2 linked regions of the Lonchura striata genome follow. The protein of the gene in region 1 purifies or fractionates together with the protein of each later gene. This does not show direct contact. Links are inferred from orthologs where the notes say so. Each region holds a gene or a part of one and is shown on either strand. Other genes may lie near its edges.

What was found.
Region 2: the proteins of TRIM13 (region 1) and SQSTM1 purify together in Homo sapiens (affinity purification with western blotting; 3 studies listed by BioGRID). This does not show direct contact. The link is inferred for Lonchura striata from reciprocal best matches to the Homo sapiens genes TRIM13 and SQSTM1.

What each region holds. Positions count from the first base shown.
Region 1 is NC_134604.1:62,631,823-62,639,994, reverse strand, and holds the start of TRIM13 (E3 ubiquitin-protein ligase TRIM13), read right to left. Parts: upstream 3,040-8,172; 5' UTR 2,977-3,039; coding exon 2,974-2,976; intron 1-2,973. UniProt on the Homo sapiens protein: Endoplasmic reticulum (ER) membrane anchored E3 ligase involved in the retrotranslocation and turnover of membrane and secretory proteins from the ER through a set of processes named ER-associated degradation (ERAD).
Region 2 is NC_134617.1:6,704,139-6,712,054, forward strand, and holds the start of SQSTM1 (sequestosome-1), read right to left. Parts: upstream 3,161-7,916; 5' UTR 3,100-3,160; coding exon 2,922-3,099; intron 2,809-2,921; coding exon 2,713-2,808; intron 1,923-2,712; coding exon 1,693-1,922; intron 1,585-1,692; coding exon 1,416-1,584; intron 974-1,415; coding exon 884-973; intron 718-883; exon of another isoform or gene 381-717; coding exon 136-380; exon of another isoform or gene 1-135. UniProt on the Homo sapiens protein: Molecular adapter required for selective macroautophagy (aggrephagy) by acting as a bridge between polyubiquitinated proteins and autophagosomes.

The sequences.
Region 1 (8,172 bases):
TCCCTTTTACAGCTTCCCTAGGGCACATCCCCTCATTTTTTGCGCCATTTGCTGCTGCTGGCACATGCACAGTGAACCCTTAGAGCCCTTCAGGAAATGAGTGGGGGGGGGCTGAGGGCCTGCAGTGGTCCGGGTGCCTCCTTCAGTGAGGTGCCCAGGACATGACCCTTCTCTTGCTGCAGGCACACTAAATGTGATCCTCCAGGCTGATTAACAAGCCCAGCAAAGAAAGGGAAGCTGGCTCACAACAGCGCTTCCCTGTCTCAGCGGGACCCTCCCTCCCAATCCCAACTTTCCTGCATGACAGTCAAAATGCTTGAGACAACCATGCTTATGTGCTTATGCCCCTCCACATATTTTCTGTGCTTGCTGGAAAAAAGAGACTTTGGAAAAGTTGCCAGCTTTTTTACTCAGAACTAAAGTCAGGAGACAGAAGAAGCCACCACTACAACTGGGGGAAAAGTCCCAGAGAAAAGGTCTAATAACTCTAACTAATGGGTTTCCTGTAAGCCCACAGATCCCATTCACAAACTCCATTTTCTGTGAGGAGAATGTAGTTTTGAAGCACCTCGCATGCTCTCAAATCAACATTTCTCTTCCATCTTTTTCCTAGTGGTAAAAATAATGGGATGACAGGAAGATGATAATTTCATCCCTCCACTCTTGAGTCTTCCTTTTTGTGAGCAGCTCTCTCTTTCCAACTTGTACTCATACCTTTTAGCCACAGTAGCAGCACAAAGATCAGTTCTGCTCATGTGTAAAGAGGATAATAACTACAAAACTAAAATTATGGTTTTCCATCTCTTAGTAAATGGAAATGCACCGGGCAGAAAATATTTGCTCTGGTCCATCTCATTTACCAGGGAAAATTTTATTTCCCAGTTGGGGAGCTGGAAAAGCAGCTTTGCATTCCTAACAGCACGAACTGCAAAGCAATGCAGAAAATGCTCACTATAACATTTTCCATCAAAATTGCAGGACAAACACCAAAGATTTTCACACTCCTAAAAATACAAAAAACATACACAAAAAGGCTTCATGATCCAACTAATATTGTCCTGTTACATTTGAACCCTACTTACCAAATTACATAATTATGCTTTATAAATATAACTGAATTTCAAAACCTTTATACAACATCATTAAAAACACTGCATTTAAAAAAAATAAATGGGCAGGTCTACAAAGTCCCCCCTCTTCCCCCTCTTACAACACCAGAAAACGCTAAACCAAAAATACTGAAGGACCTGTACGATTAGTTGGACAGATTAACTTCTGTCTTCTTTAATTTCAGATAGTAAATTGTCTGTAGATTGAAACATCCCTTAGCAACCTGGTATTTGTGTGATGAACCACATCTACAGTTCAACTTTTTCACTGGGAATTTCTCTGTGTAACCTCTGACCCAGGATTGGGTGGCCCTGGAATTCCCCACTTGTAGCACATGGACCAAAAGCATCTCTGGGTACAAACCCAACAGATGTCACCCATCAGAAATAGCAACTTGCACAGTTTTATCATTAGGAAGAAGAATGACAAACAACATCAAACCATAAAAGCAAAAACAACCACAGTAGCTTTTTCCCACACTCCAGACAAAAATTCATTTAGCATGCTTCTCAGCACAGAAGTTGGGTTTATCAGCCAGCAGCATGCTGAAAGCAAAACCAGAATTTCACCAGGCTTCAAAAAAACCAAAAAGATAACCTCTGAATTACAAGTTTCCTGCAACGGCATTTAACTGTTCTAAATGAGACGTGACCAAGTCAAGCTACATTTCTACAAGCAGTTGAGCTAGTCTGGAGAGGTCACATCTCCCTTCCTTGGCAGGAACCCTAGTCTGTGTCAGGACCCCCTATAAGCAATTTCACCAGCCTTGTCCAGACTTGTGTGTTGAATCAGCCCTAAAAAGAGTCCTACACAGAGGAGAAGAGAGATGGAAGATCCTCGTTCCAGCAGCTATGATCTGAACCCTGTTCACTGAGAGAAACCACAATCTAAGAGGGTCACTATATACATTTTATTGTGGAACAACTGACCTCTATGAGCAGTAGGTAACATAGGATCATAGAATATTAAGGAGTTGAGAAGGACTTTGAAGATTATCTAGTCCCAACCGCCCCTGCCATGGCCAGGGACACCAACCACTAGACCAGGTTGCCCAAAGCCTTATCTAACCCGGCCTTGAACACTGCCAGGACTGGGGCATCCAAAATATCCCTGTTCCAGTGTCACTGCTCCCACAGTAAAAAATTTCTTCCCAATATCTAAATAAAATTTTCTCTCAGTTTGTACACATCACTCTTTGTTCTGTCCCTATAGTTCCTGATGAAGTGCCCCTCTCTGGCTTCCCTGTAGACCCCTTCCAGCTACTGGAAGGTTGCTAACCAGACGGCCAAAAAGACATGGGTAAATTGCCCATGCTTTAAACCTGGTATTTCACGGCCAAAAGTTTTTCCAGGAGCACCAGGCAGATCCAACACGTCCAGACTCTCGAAAGGCAGGAAGGCCTGGAGAAATAAGCGGTCTGTGCTCAGTGCACACACAGCCCCATGAACACCGTTTCACCCCCAGGGCTGGGCGGTCTGCCGAGCGCACGGGCTGCCCCAGCGCTGGTCCCTGCGCTCGCCCCCACTGTCCCTTGACCTGGCAGAGGTTCCCCGGCTGCTCCTGGTTGCACCCCCCGTCTGCAGTTCCTGCAGGGAATCGCCCCTAAACGACGCTGCAGCCAGCCGCCGGCCCTGGCCTCCGCGGGGTGCCAGCGCTCCGCCCGGCGCCGCGGCCCGGGGCAGGGAGGCCGGGCAGGTCCGCGAGGCGCCGCGGGGCTCGGGGACGGCGGCTGCCGCGGAGCCGGCGGTAGGCGCCGCAGCGGCGTCCCCGGCCCGGGCGCTGCCGCCGCCTCTCACAAAGCCGCGGCCTGCGCTCGCCCGGCCGCGCCCGCCCGTCCTGCCGCCCCCGGGCCCCGCTACTCACCATGGCAGGCCGGGGCCCGGCGGGCTGCGGAGCGGCCGCCTCGGTCACCCGCACGCTCGCCACGCTCCCGCCCGCCCGCCGCCCGCCTTCCGGGCCCGCCGGGACGATCGGCCGGGCCCGCCGGAACGATCGGCCGGGCCCGCCGGGACGATCGGCCGGCCGCCGCTGCCCCGCCGTCCCACCCACCTTGGCCCGCGGCCGCCGATCCAGCCCCAGGGCCGGAGCTGCTGCGGCTCGTCCGTTCCTCCGCTGCCCTGTGAGCGGCCGGGAAGCCTCCGGAGCTGCCGGGAAAGAGGGCCGGCGGTGGAGGCTGCTCGCCTAAGGCGGCGGCCGAGATATATACGGGTTTCTGTTGTTTGTTAACTCTGTTAAATTACACTTGAGCCTGCAGCTCACAGGCGCACGTTGCACAGCCTAGGGAGGGGCGCTGCTGGGTGACAATCCTGTGGGGATCTGTCGCCTTCCGAAAGCACTTATTAAAAAAGAACATAATTTGAGACAGCCAGCCTTATGTGCTTCATGAAAGGATAACGACTCATTTGCTTGAGCACACTGGTTATGCCGTTTCCAGCTGGTGAATCTCTTGGAGAGTTAACGTGCCCATAAAACCAGTGCAGGTCTTCCACAAAACACTGACTAGTCCCTGGGAAATGCAGCAGAAGAGATTCCATATCCATTTAAAAGAACATTCTGGTTATAGGATTATGAAACTGAGTCTGGAAGTGCTGAGATGTCAGAGGACCTTTGTGTTCCATATCTCTTTTGCAGTTCTGTTAGTTCTCAGTCAACAGAACAGGTTTCACATCAAAGTCAAACTGAACTTATTTTCAAGTTAGACTTTGTGAAATACTACATGAAAAGCTGTTCCCAAATGTACATACTCTGCCTCCTGCATCCCTCCCCTCCCCTACTGCGCAGTCACTGCAGTCCTGTCACTCATCAGCACAGGGGAGACTCTTCACCTCCAGGACTACCCACACAAGGAACATCACAAATCAGACCGTATTTCTATCAAATGAAGCTCCCTCGAACATCTGACTTATTTCTTCTTATTATTTAGGAACCTGGATCTTAAAAGCCATTCAATAACATGCCAAGGTTATGCTTCCCCAATTCACTGCAGTTACTCCTCACCTTCTCTCCTTGCTGCCCCACCCAAGCTAGCCTGCCTGCTCAGCTGAACTCAATGGGAACCAATTTGATCAAGGACAAGCATTTTTGAAAATTCCTTTCCAAGTGCCTACACACTGAGGCATTTCTTCCACTGTCCACTGGAGAACAGCCCCAGCAGGCAGAGTTGCTGCACAAAAGCAATCAAGACCTTCAGATGTATTTCAACATCCTGCTTGTTTCTTCTTGATTGTCGAGCATCTTGATTCCTGCTTATTAAAAACAAGTAATTCCAGGTAGTTTCCCTCAGTCACCTAAACTACTTTCAAATTATGTCCCAATGCTTGTGCAGTTACATTTGCTGAGTACTCCTTGTCTACACTTTCCCAACAGCCACTTTTATATCAAGAATTTCTGGGTCCTATTAATCTTCTCTGTAATTTTATGGTTAGAGATTAACAACAACATGGCATTTTAGATTTCTCACTTGTTATTTCCATCTATTTCTCATATAAAATTTTAATATATTTTTAGAGTATGTTTTATTCTCTGTTAATTCTTTGGGCTGGTCCAACTCTGTCTCCTTATAAATGAAGAAGGAGCTGAATGGGTGGAAGAGTGGTTCCCTGCCCACCCAGAACAATGGCTCTTCATTAGGTCCACCTGAAAATGTTCTTGTCCCTCCTTGCCTTTGATTTCTTCTATCAAAGAGGAAAGCTTAACTTCTAGGCAAACACGCAGCAGGATTTCTGTGATTGGTGCACAGAAACACTGCCTAGCCAGCACCCTACTTAAGTGTTCCACAGCTGTCCTGAGCATAATCAAATAGAATTTGGGCACTCTTCTACTTCTTACCTGAGTCGCACACAACCATTTTGCACACATTCAAGTCCATCTTTCTATACTTTTTAACTCTGCTTCAATAGCAGCACTTTCAGTAGCAGTTTGTTTATGAGCTTGCATTCTTGCATCGAAGAGCACAGTGTCTTCCCAAGGCAGCAACAAAAGCCAGTTGTGGAAGCTTCAGAGAAAAGCTCTCTCTGGCTGATGGAAAAGAACATTTGTAGATCTGTGGAGATAAACAAAGCCAAGGGAAATCTAGGCTCAAAGGAGAGGCCCAGCTTGAAAGGAGGTGTTAGAATAAATGCCACTTAGTTATGGGAGAGTTGAAAAGTTGAAAATACAGGGGTAGAAATTTGGAAGGAATTATATGATTGTGGTAATTTCCAGATTTTCAATTCTTATTTTTTGTAAGACAAAGGGTATTCATTTACTGTCATCTTCAAACTACAGAGAGAACCCAGATCATGGCTCTTCTAATAAGCACTGTGCAAGGAGATTTCTGAGACTGAAGCTCTGAGTTGTGGTTCAGTCAGCGACCTCAGAGCTGACAGCTACTATTCCCCTTGCCTGTCCCAGCTCTGCCAGCGTCTGCAGATGCTCTGCTGAGCTGATTCCACCCACTCAGTAAGCAGAATGCTATTCCCTTTTCTTTGTTGAGGTGAGTTTTGTGCTGATTCAATAAGTTAAATCAGTCCAATGCAAGATTAGACAATCACCAGGTCTAATGTCAGAAGAGCGAGGAAAAAAGGAACAAGATTTTTCTCATACACTTGAAGCAAGCCATTAATGTGACTCAAATTATAACAGGTAACTCTACCCTGACAGGCAGATTCTCGGGGGGTTAAGCCAAGACAAGAGTGTACTACTGGCAAAAGTCATCATTCCATCCTTTCCCCTTTCCTTAGTCATGCCTTCCTGATGCCTGCTCTCTGCTGGCTACAACACTGATGCAGCCATATGTTAAGCCAGATCGACTTGCCAACAGAGCTGAAAGCTAATCCAGTTTACAAAAAAAAGAAAAAAAGTTTCCAGCAGGATCAATTTTGGCAGCCAGCCGATCCTACAGCCGAACAAACACCAGTGCCAGGATAAGCCAGTGAGAGGGCCTGTTTCAGTGGCAGCCTGCACACACGTCAGCATAAACCAGAAGTGCCCCCACAAGCCATAATTTCACAAATGCTTCCAGCCAGCTATTGCCAGCACTGCTGCCAAAAGTAACACAGCCTTGCCCTCGGCCACACCAGCTGCTCATTCCAGGCTCCAGGCACCCGCTGTGCTTTGCTGGAGAAGAACTGATTGATAAATATAGTTGGAGTTAAAAGCAGCATTTTTTTTTCCTCCCAAATTTGTATTCCACATCAGTAAAGCACCTTTGAACCAAAGACCTGTTGGATTGTAATTGTCTCCTGGAGTGAAGCTCCAGGGAAAAGAGGTGAGTTGAGGGCATTTTACAGTCTTATCCTTGGCTGCAAACCTGCCTTCCCACTAAGGCTAAGGCTTCACATCCCGTTAGAGAGGTGTCAGAGCACACACAGAATATACTCCAGCTTCAGGACTCCAGCTTGAAGGACTCTGCTTTATTCAGCTGTGCTGGGGTGAGCATACTCTCAATCTGAGGTGGATAATGTAGTTGCTATGGGGACCTAAATATGGACATAAATCTGCAAGAGCTTAGAGCAGCTTGATAAAAAGATACCGTAAGATAACACAAGCAAATTATTCAAAACAGCTCCATGTATCAAACACCTTACTGATGTATGAATGTTTCACAACTATATTGTATCTGACTACATTTCTTTTCAACAGATACATCTGGACTATATTAAACATTCCAAACAAGGGATCAGAGAAAGCAGTTTCTTGTTATTCTTCCATAAAAGCAACTTTTAATATGGATTGTAGAAATACCAGGCATTAAAAATCCATGAAGGATCATCAGCAACTGAAATGATCAACTGCTGTTTTGAGGTCTGAATTTCAGAGACTGCCTTGATATCTGCAGGGTCTCTGGTGGCTATTTTAGCAGTACTGAAAAGTTCTGTAGTTTTGCATACAGAACTATGACCGACAGGGTTAACTAATATTCAGCACTTTGCCAGATTTTTTCTGCAGAGGGACGTGGGGGGGGAATCGATGATGAATTCAGTCAGCTCCTTAGCGAAATCCTATTTATTTACAAAGAATGTACAGCCACGTCCCCTTTCCTTGCACGCAGAGGAAGCAAATGGGAGGGAGAACTGTGCAGCAGTCCAAGTTTGCTGCTCCAGCCAGGATGCTTGCCCAGAAGAAGCTGTCCCTTGGCTTTTTCTCAGGGCCATACACCACTGCTTCTCCCACTGTCTGCTGGCTCTTGTGTGGTGTTTCCGGTCCCGGACATGCACACAGGCAAACACAGCTGCAACCAATCTGTGCTCTTGCTGCTGCACTCACAAGCAGTCCCTAGAAAAGTGTCCCTGACTTTCCCCAAATTAGTGCTTGCTCATACAAATTAACTCAGCATTTGGCCATGCACCCCTGTGCCTTCACCCCTGCCTGCATGGGCAGCAGTTTCTCATTTTTAGCTATCTTATGCCATAAAAGAACTTAATTGCTCCTTCCTGAACAAAGCACGGACAGCATCCCTGTCAGTTTTAATGAGGTTTGGGATTGCCTATAGATCAAAGCTTTGCTACAGTGGGTTTTGTTTGTATTGCACAATGAGGAAAGGAGAAGTGACCTCCAAAGCAAAGAGAACAACAAGGAAGAAAATTAATTTCCATATGTAATTTCTTCTATGATTTGGCAAGTGTCAGATTAACTGTGTAAAACAGAGGACTTCCTACATAATGTTAATCTTCACAAGAACTACATTATGGTGAAGATTTCAAAAGTACAAGCACAACCTGTTTTTCATCTGAGACCTTGTCTCTATCATCTTCCAAACCACAGGCCTGACCCTGGGAGTGGAAGACCTGCTTTCAATAAACAAACCTTGATTTTCCAGTTCTGCACCATCATTTACTTCTGTGCAAGTTGCATGGAGACATTACAAAACCCATTCCAACATACATAATAAATACTTTTTTACATTGGTTTTCACAGGTGTAAATGCCTCCACGAAGCATGCAGGAGCAGAGAAGCAAGTCCAATTGGTTTTTACTTGCAGAACAAAGAGGAATTATTTCTCTGTGAATGGATTAGTCATGTATTACACTGTTGTAATGTGTGCTGCCACAATGGGAGAGAGCTGCTCTCTCCTGCAAATTT
Region 2 (7,916 bases), on another chromosome or scaffold:
ATCCACAAGAAGTCCCACCACCTTTGCTGTAAATCTGTAAAGGTGCTGTGTATCCCTTAATCTGCTCTCATCTTAATACTCATTCCTGCAGTACATTCCAAGTGATTGCATTCAATTACTGTTGTAGTTTTGTACCTGGGAATGGAAGCTGCCATCTTCCATTTGTGTGGGCACAGAATCTACCACCATGTCTTGCATCTGTTCTGCAATGACATTTACTTGTGTAGCAGACTCTGTGTTATTCCAGTCTGCTTTGGTCTGAACATTCTGGGTTGGAGCACTGCTGGTTGCCTCAGCACCGGTCTTCTCTTGGTTGGCAGAAGTGGGAGTCACTTTGCTTCTCTGTCCTCCGTGTTCCACATCGATATCAACTTCAATACCTAGAAAAGCATTTAAGGTAGACAAAGTGGTAAGAGGTTTTTTTTCCAAAACAGCCCTAAATGGATCGATCCTGCTCTACACTCTTAAGGTTTCTGTCATCCTACAATCTGCCATGTAACAGCAGGAATTAAAATGCAAAGCCTTCTTTACTAAAGAATAGCTAAGCACTGAACAGCCATCTTCCTCCACACAGACAAGCCAAATACTTAAAGGCAGGGCAGAAGTTACATCTATGTCCACATAAACCAGGCAAAATCTAGAGTCACCACTGACTTAAAGGGCTGACACATTATTGAAATTTTTCCTCATTTTTTTCAAATAAAAGGTACTGAGCAACTGTTCTAAGCCTAAGCATTATTAGTATCCAAGTATAAACTAAGCCTTTGAGGCTTAGGACAGGAGGTAATTTGAAGACCAGTCACAACAACTGACTGCTGCTCCTGTTAAACAGACCTGTAAGCCAGTCTCAGGGACTGGTAACAAACTGTACATTATCACTTACCCAGGGGACTCAGAAAAGCTGCAACACTCTCCCCAACATTCTTTAGGAAGGTGACATTGGGGTCCTGAGGCTGGCTGTTAGTAGAAGCTTCTAGAAAAACAATTTCTGTTAGCACACACAAGCTCTGAGGGAAAGGGCACCTGCAGAGGGTGTGTCCCCACAGGAGCTTAAAGCTCATTCCTGTCACTGACATACATTACAGAACAAAGCACTACAGAGAACAACTAACTGGGCTACCTCTGGAACAGAAAGCCAGTATTAGCATTATTATGGCTCATCAGCCATGCTGAAAGGCAGGTCTGGAGTACAATAGTGACATGCTTGACCTAACAGCTCAGCTTGGTTGGGTTCCAGATACTTTATCTGCATCCTCATTGACTGCACGGACCCAAGCACACCTTAAAGTAATAACACTTTGTGCTGAAAGGTGCCAATTCCTTTGTTCTCCCACCCAGATTCTACCCTATGCTGCAGAACCTCAGCTGGTCTGAGGCTCCACCACCACCCTGTCTACCAGGGCACCTCCTCTCACCTTCTGCAGCAGGTGCACTGGGGGCTGCAGTGGTGGCTTCAGCGGTGGCTTCAGCTTGCTCCGAGTTCTGGCAGGGAGCTGCAGGCCCAGGATACCCCCAGCAGTGCATCCATGGGAAAGGTGGAACACCATGGCGCATTTTACGGAGCCAGCGTCCTCGGGGAATCCACTGTAAAGGGTGACATTCGTGTGACAGCGAGTTCTGAGCAACTGAAACGCCTGACTTGAATTTGAGGAATCTCTCACTCATCAGTTGCCTTCCATAGATTTTGCTCACCTCAAACGGATTAAGCAGTGGGCTTTGGAACATCACCATGTTGTGCTCCTTGTGGATGCCCTTCCCCTCACAGGTGCTGCACAGGTCATAGTCTGGACAGACACTGCACTTGAACCTGGTCCCCACCACAGGTCCCTCACAGCCATCACAGATGACGTTGGGGTGCACCATGTTGCGGGGCGGCTCCTGGCTGCACTGCGAGCGGTGCTCCCGCTTGCACTCCTTCTTCTCTGTTAAGGAAGGGAAATTCCACATCAAGATCAGATTACTATCTACGGCCTTGAAGTCAGGCCGAGGAGGAAGCACAAACAGCCCGTCCGAGCAGTGTTGACTTACTAGGTCAGTTTATTTTTACACTGGCTGTCAAACCTAAGCCAGGCTCATGTAAGAGACCTTAAACCACGTGCAAAGAGGTTTTGCAAAGATACCTCCTCCTGAAACCAAGCCTACGTTATCCTAAATATCCCTTGGCACACTTTTTTTAGATTAGCACTGCACCACCTCATCTGGCTTCTCACCCTACCTTCCCAAGCACTGCAAGAACAAAATGTTTCTGGAGAAGGAGTTAGGAATGCAGATGCCATGAAGCATAACATGAGAATGGGGACAACAGGTGTGGCTCACTAGATGGACTGCAGATAAAGCTTTGAGGGCTTCTACATGAACAAGGGACTGGGAAGCAACTACGCACTGGGAAAGTGGAATTAAAGCTAACATGTTGTTTTGAATATTTAGGATACCACCACTGGTTTAGTGTATCCAGGGAACGAGAATGACAACAGAGCCTCACACTGGGCCAGCTGATAGGGCTAGGAGGAAACCTGTGGTTTGTTTATCCCACCTCAAATTCATGTTCCGTCACATTACACTGCCCTTTATTTAACCTCCCCCGCAGAGGCCGCAGCTTCCACTCGGCGCTCGAGGACACGGGAAGGGCCGGGGCTGGCTTCTCCCGCTTTGGGAGCGCTGCCAGGAGGCTCAGCCGAGACCCGCCGTGCCCTCCGGAGCTGCTACCCGTACCTTTGATATAAACACGGAACACGCCATCCCGCACGTAGGGCATCGCCAACTCCAGCTCCTCGTCGCTGGAAAAAGCGATCAGGTCCCCGTCCTCATCTGGAAAGGGCGAAGCGCAGGATGAGGCGCCCGGTGGGGTAACGGGGCAGCCAGAGCCCCGCGCCCCGCGATCTGCCACCCCGGGACCCGGCAGCTGCCCCAGCCCCGCTCACCCTTGTAGTGCATGCGGAAGGCGGGCGGCGGCCCGGCCCGCAGCAGCCCCTGGAAGAGCTCGGCGACACGGTCGTAGATGGCCCGGTAGCGAGCGGGCGGCGGCAGCGTGAAGCGGCGGATCTCGCGGGCCGCCTCCTCCTTGCCCAGCAGGTAGGCTTTCACCGTCAGCGCCGCCATGGCTGTGGCGCAGCAGGAATTGCGGCCGGGACCGAGACACGGAGCGGCGAGGGGCGGGGTGAGCGGCGACGGCGGCTCCGCCGGCCGCGCTTTTAAGCGCCGCGGCAGCGGCCCCGCCCCCGAGGCCACCCCCCTCTGCCCTGCCCCGGCCCGCCCCGCTCCCGTTCCTGCTCCGTCCCCATCCAGGGCCACGGAAAAGCGCCCACGGCGCGCGGGAAAACCTGTGGATACGTGCAAATGCCCATGTCTGCTCCCTGCCCTGCCCGGCCCCGGTTTGGGCCCCGGGGCAGCGCCAGGGGCGTGGGCGGCGCGGGGTTCTTGTGGTCCCCTGAGCACCAGCGGGGGCGGCGGGCAGTGAGCGCGACACGGGGACCCCTGGGTGACCTCCGAGACACACCGGGGGCAACACCACAGCACGGGCAGCGCCGGGCCGCCCCGGTCCCGTCACCGCTCCCGGCCGCCGGGAGCCGGCAGGCGCTTGGCATCCCGGCGCTGCCTCCCCTCCACGGCGGCAGCGCGGCCGGGAGCGGAGCGGGAGCCACGAGCCAGCCCCGCTCGTGCGGCACCCACCGGAGCGGCTGGCGTGCCGAGCGTGGCAGGAATAAATAACTGAACCCCTGTGTCAGGAGCGGGCACTAAAAATAAGGTCACTGGTGTAAACACAGCTGACATTAAGGAGGATGTGCTGTGGCCTTTGCAAGCTGGTTGGCAGCAGTATTTTTTTTGCGGATCACATACAGTTGACAGGCCTCTTAATCCGGCCGCAGGAGGGTTCAGCTGGCAGAACACACCGTCTGTGCTGTCCAAGCATAATTAAATAATGATGGATCAATGATTATTAGGTTCCTTGTTGGTGTTACTTTCCTCTCACCCAAGGGCCTGACCACTCTGACTCTTGGTGCTGTATTTCTTAATTTAAGATATTAAGAACTTAGGAGGAACTGTGTCACGATTTATCATCTTCTGTAATCAAGAGAAGCATAAATTTTAATTTCCACAATGGGAAGGTAGTTTATTTCTTGACCTAAAGTATATATGTTAAAACACTTGGCCTTTTATGTAGAGACATTTTTGGTATATGTGGCACAATGTTGACATTGCAACCCTTTCCTGGAAAATAGTATTTACAGTGGAAAAGTTTGCCCCATTTAAGTTAAAATGCTTTCTAGAAAATTCAGTTTCTATGTATGACATGGCTAATGTTTGCACTGTAAAGCAGTGGATTAAAGTTTAAATACCAGCAAATTCAGCAGGAAACATGGATGATGCTGTGTAGGAAATTATTCAGCGGCTTTTACAGCAGCCAATATTGAAAACTTTGGGCAGGCAGCAAAGCCATATGGTGTTTCACCTTCCCTTTTGCCTGTTTGCTGTGTGTATCCTTATATCTGAAAATGTCAATGAAAGCTGATACCTTGACATTGTTGGATTATGCTTTTTCTCCATAAAATCTGATTTTATGGTGCCAGGAGAAGCAGGACATGCAGTACAGGGCACTCTACCAGTGTTGGATGTGCCTCACCAAGCAGCACCTCCAACATGCCCATCTCATGTTGTTTCTGAAGACCTCGAGGGCCACTTTCATCTCATCTATTAGGCCAGAACTGTATTTTGAGACCCAGCACATCCATTCCTTAGGTTCCAAGCTGCTGCTGTTCCAGACAGCTCCAGTTCCTATTCCCTTCTCCATCCCTGCCTGTGTTTGAGGGGTGTTTGAAGTGCAGGGTAGGGGGTGTCCTCAAGTTGCTGTGTCTTTTCATGTCAGTTCTGTCTCCAGGCTAATTGATTGTTGCATTTGCAATTATCAAGCAATGTGCTAAAGTAAAATCAGAAATTTGAGTTTTCCCGTGTCCACTTCAATCCAGTTCTCCTGGTGGGACATGCTGAGTCACGCACAGCTCTTGCTGTGACATCATGCACTTTTACAAAACACAAGGCAAACAAGCTTTCACTGGTCTCACGGCTTACCTCACCGATCACGGGACGGGAGTGACTCAGTGAGTCTCCTCCTCCTCCTCCTCCTCCTCCTCGAGGTCGGGGATTTCCTCCGGGCAGCCCTCCTGCAGCTCAGACCTCGCTCTCCCCCGTTTCCTCCAGCCTGGGCTCTGCCTCTGCCCGGTTCCTCAGCCCCATGTGAGGAGCTGTGCTCTATTCCCAGATCCACTAGAGCAGTTTCTCCTTCTGTTTGTGAGTGGATCTGGATTTTGGCATTCTCAGCATGGAGCAGTGGTTGTGTGGATACTTTCTTAGGAATCCCATGGCAGCACAGCAACTCCTGCCCAAAAAAGTGGCTCGTTGGCCCCAGGTGCTGAGCAGCCAGCTTCACACATGGATATAGCAAAGGAACAGTAAAGAGAACAGTGAAAAATGCTGTTGGAGTTTAAAAATTCAAGTTAGAGAGGAAAGGCTTAAAAAGGAGCAATTAGCATCCCTTCAGTGATCTGCTTTCTCTCTACACCCACTTCTGCTGGGAAATGTTTGACAATATTTGGTGAGGTTTTTGTTCTGAGGGCACAATCACCAGAAATACTTCTGTCCAAACTTCTTATGTTTGCAATAAAGCCCTGGGGGGAAGAAGGTGGGATGGAGGAGGTGAAATGTCCAATCTTTTCCTTGCTTGCAAACCACAGCAGAGTCTGATGAGGAAATTTTCCAGAGGAAGTTTTGCCCCAGCTCATTGCTCCAGCCTGAGGCTGCCGTCACTGCCCCAGCACTCCTGGTGAGGAGGGGAGGGTTGGCAGGACAGTGTGTGGTGATGGAGGGACCACGCACAGCTCTGGGCTGCACCGAGTGCCCATCCACACCCAGCAATCCCACGTGTCCTTCCAGAGGCTTCTGGAGAGGTGCAGGATCCTCCAGGCACATCGGGACAGACACTGGTGACTCAGCCTGGTCCCATGACCTCTTCTTTCCTCCTCTAGCCCAGTGAAAACCCGGTTCGTGCCTCGGAAGCAGAACCCTCCTTCCTCATTGGCACAGGCAGAGCACAAAGCCGAGCTGGGAGTTTTTTGCTGTCTCATTTTTGAGGCTTTCCTGAAGTTCAGCTGTGCCACGTCAGGTGTTTACACAGGCTCAGCAGCTGTGGTGAAACTGTTAAAGGCAGAAAACTCTGGCAGTTTTTTCACTGAGACACAGGAGCAGATAGGAAGAATGGGTGGACAGCAGGTACAAGGTAGAAGCACACCAGGAGTGTTATGCAGTTCCATAAGGATTGTTCCTGGAGATGAGAAAGAGTTTTTTGCAACCTATGTGAATTTCTTGGGCCTAGTGTTGCTTTGAAAATCTGACTTGTAGCTTTTGCCCTGATTTAAAGCATCAACATGTCAACACTTTGAACATAAAGCACCCTGTTGTCATTTTCCTCTCTCATGGCTAAAGAGATTTGAAAACATTTATACTGCTGTGAAACAAGCCATGGTGATGTTTGAACACAGCAGCCTATAAAACATAGAAAATGAAATTATTTTGTTTCTTGCATAAAGCAGCCTGGGAAGGATCAAGCCTAAAGATGGGCCAAACTCCAGAGCTAAGCTCTTTCAAGCACTAGATAAAATCAGCTATAAATCTGGATTACATTTTATACCTAGACCTAATAAATGTTTTCTCTTTCTAATTTTTGTAATGGCCTCAGGACCTGTGGATTGCTATGGGAGTGTTTCCCATGAAGGCCCCTCATTTCTGCAGCACACTCAGCATTGCCAGCATCAACTGTTCAAAGATCATGAGATCACCATTTAAAAAAAAAAAAAAAAAAAAAAAACACACAAAAAAAAAAACCACCTTTTCTCTGCATTTGCTATTTGCTGGGGTTTTGGGTCTCTGCAATTCACATTTTAATTTTTGCTCTGCAAAATACGAAAGCTCAAAACTTGCTCAAAATTTGCTCAAAACTTTAAAAACAGAATAAAAGACAAAACTGGGAAAAGAGGGATAGATTTAAAGAATAAAAAAGACTTTGCAGGTCTAAGAGAAAAATGGCAGGTGCTGCAATTTGGCTTAATCCCTCATTTTTTCCAAGAGAACCCAAGGTTTTTTATCATGAGAGGGTGGTATAAAGCTCATTAATTTCTTCAGACTTTTATGAAGACAAAGTATAACAGAAGAAATTAGATTAAACTTTATCCTTGGGAAAGAGTCTAATTAATTGTCTTGGAGAAATTATTAATGTTCCTCTCTTCTCTCCCGCTGCAGACACACCCGATATCCTGAGTGGTGGGAGCATTTTGCACCTCTGAAAATAAACAGCCAACATTTAATAGAGCACAGCACTTCCCCACCAGCTCTTACTTGTCTGCCACCTTTGTGGAGGGCTACCATTAATTCCTGCGGATCTGCTGCTGCCTTATGTTGTGATGGGGGTTGTTCGTGCTTTGTAAAATCCAGGTCAGGATGCACCGGTCCAAGCCCCGCCCGCGGGGTTTTTTCGTTTTTTCGGCGTTCCTGGGAGTTCTGCCAGGGGATTTCCCCGCTCAGGGCGTTTCCCTGCCCAGGGATGAGGTCTGTGCTCGGCCCCGCAACTCCCACCTGGCTCCTGGCAGAGGAGGGAGGCAGAAACTCCTGATGCCATCCAAAGGGCTCCCTCTGCCGATTTCCTTCCCGGATTCTCTAACACCGGCAGAGGCCATTTCAAGATTTGAAAAATGGGCTTTATTTAACGAACTGAAGAATGTTCTAAGGATGCAGTTAGGCAAGACCTGTGCTTTTCCTCATATACGAGGCACCCAGAGCACCTCGAGGCAGCCCCTGCACCTTCCCGAGTGCTGGGCTCCCTTCACTGTCACCTCTCCAGGAGGAAACAGAGAGGATGCCTGAGGATC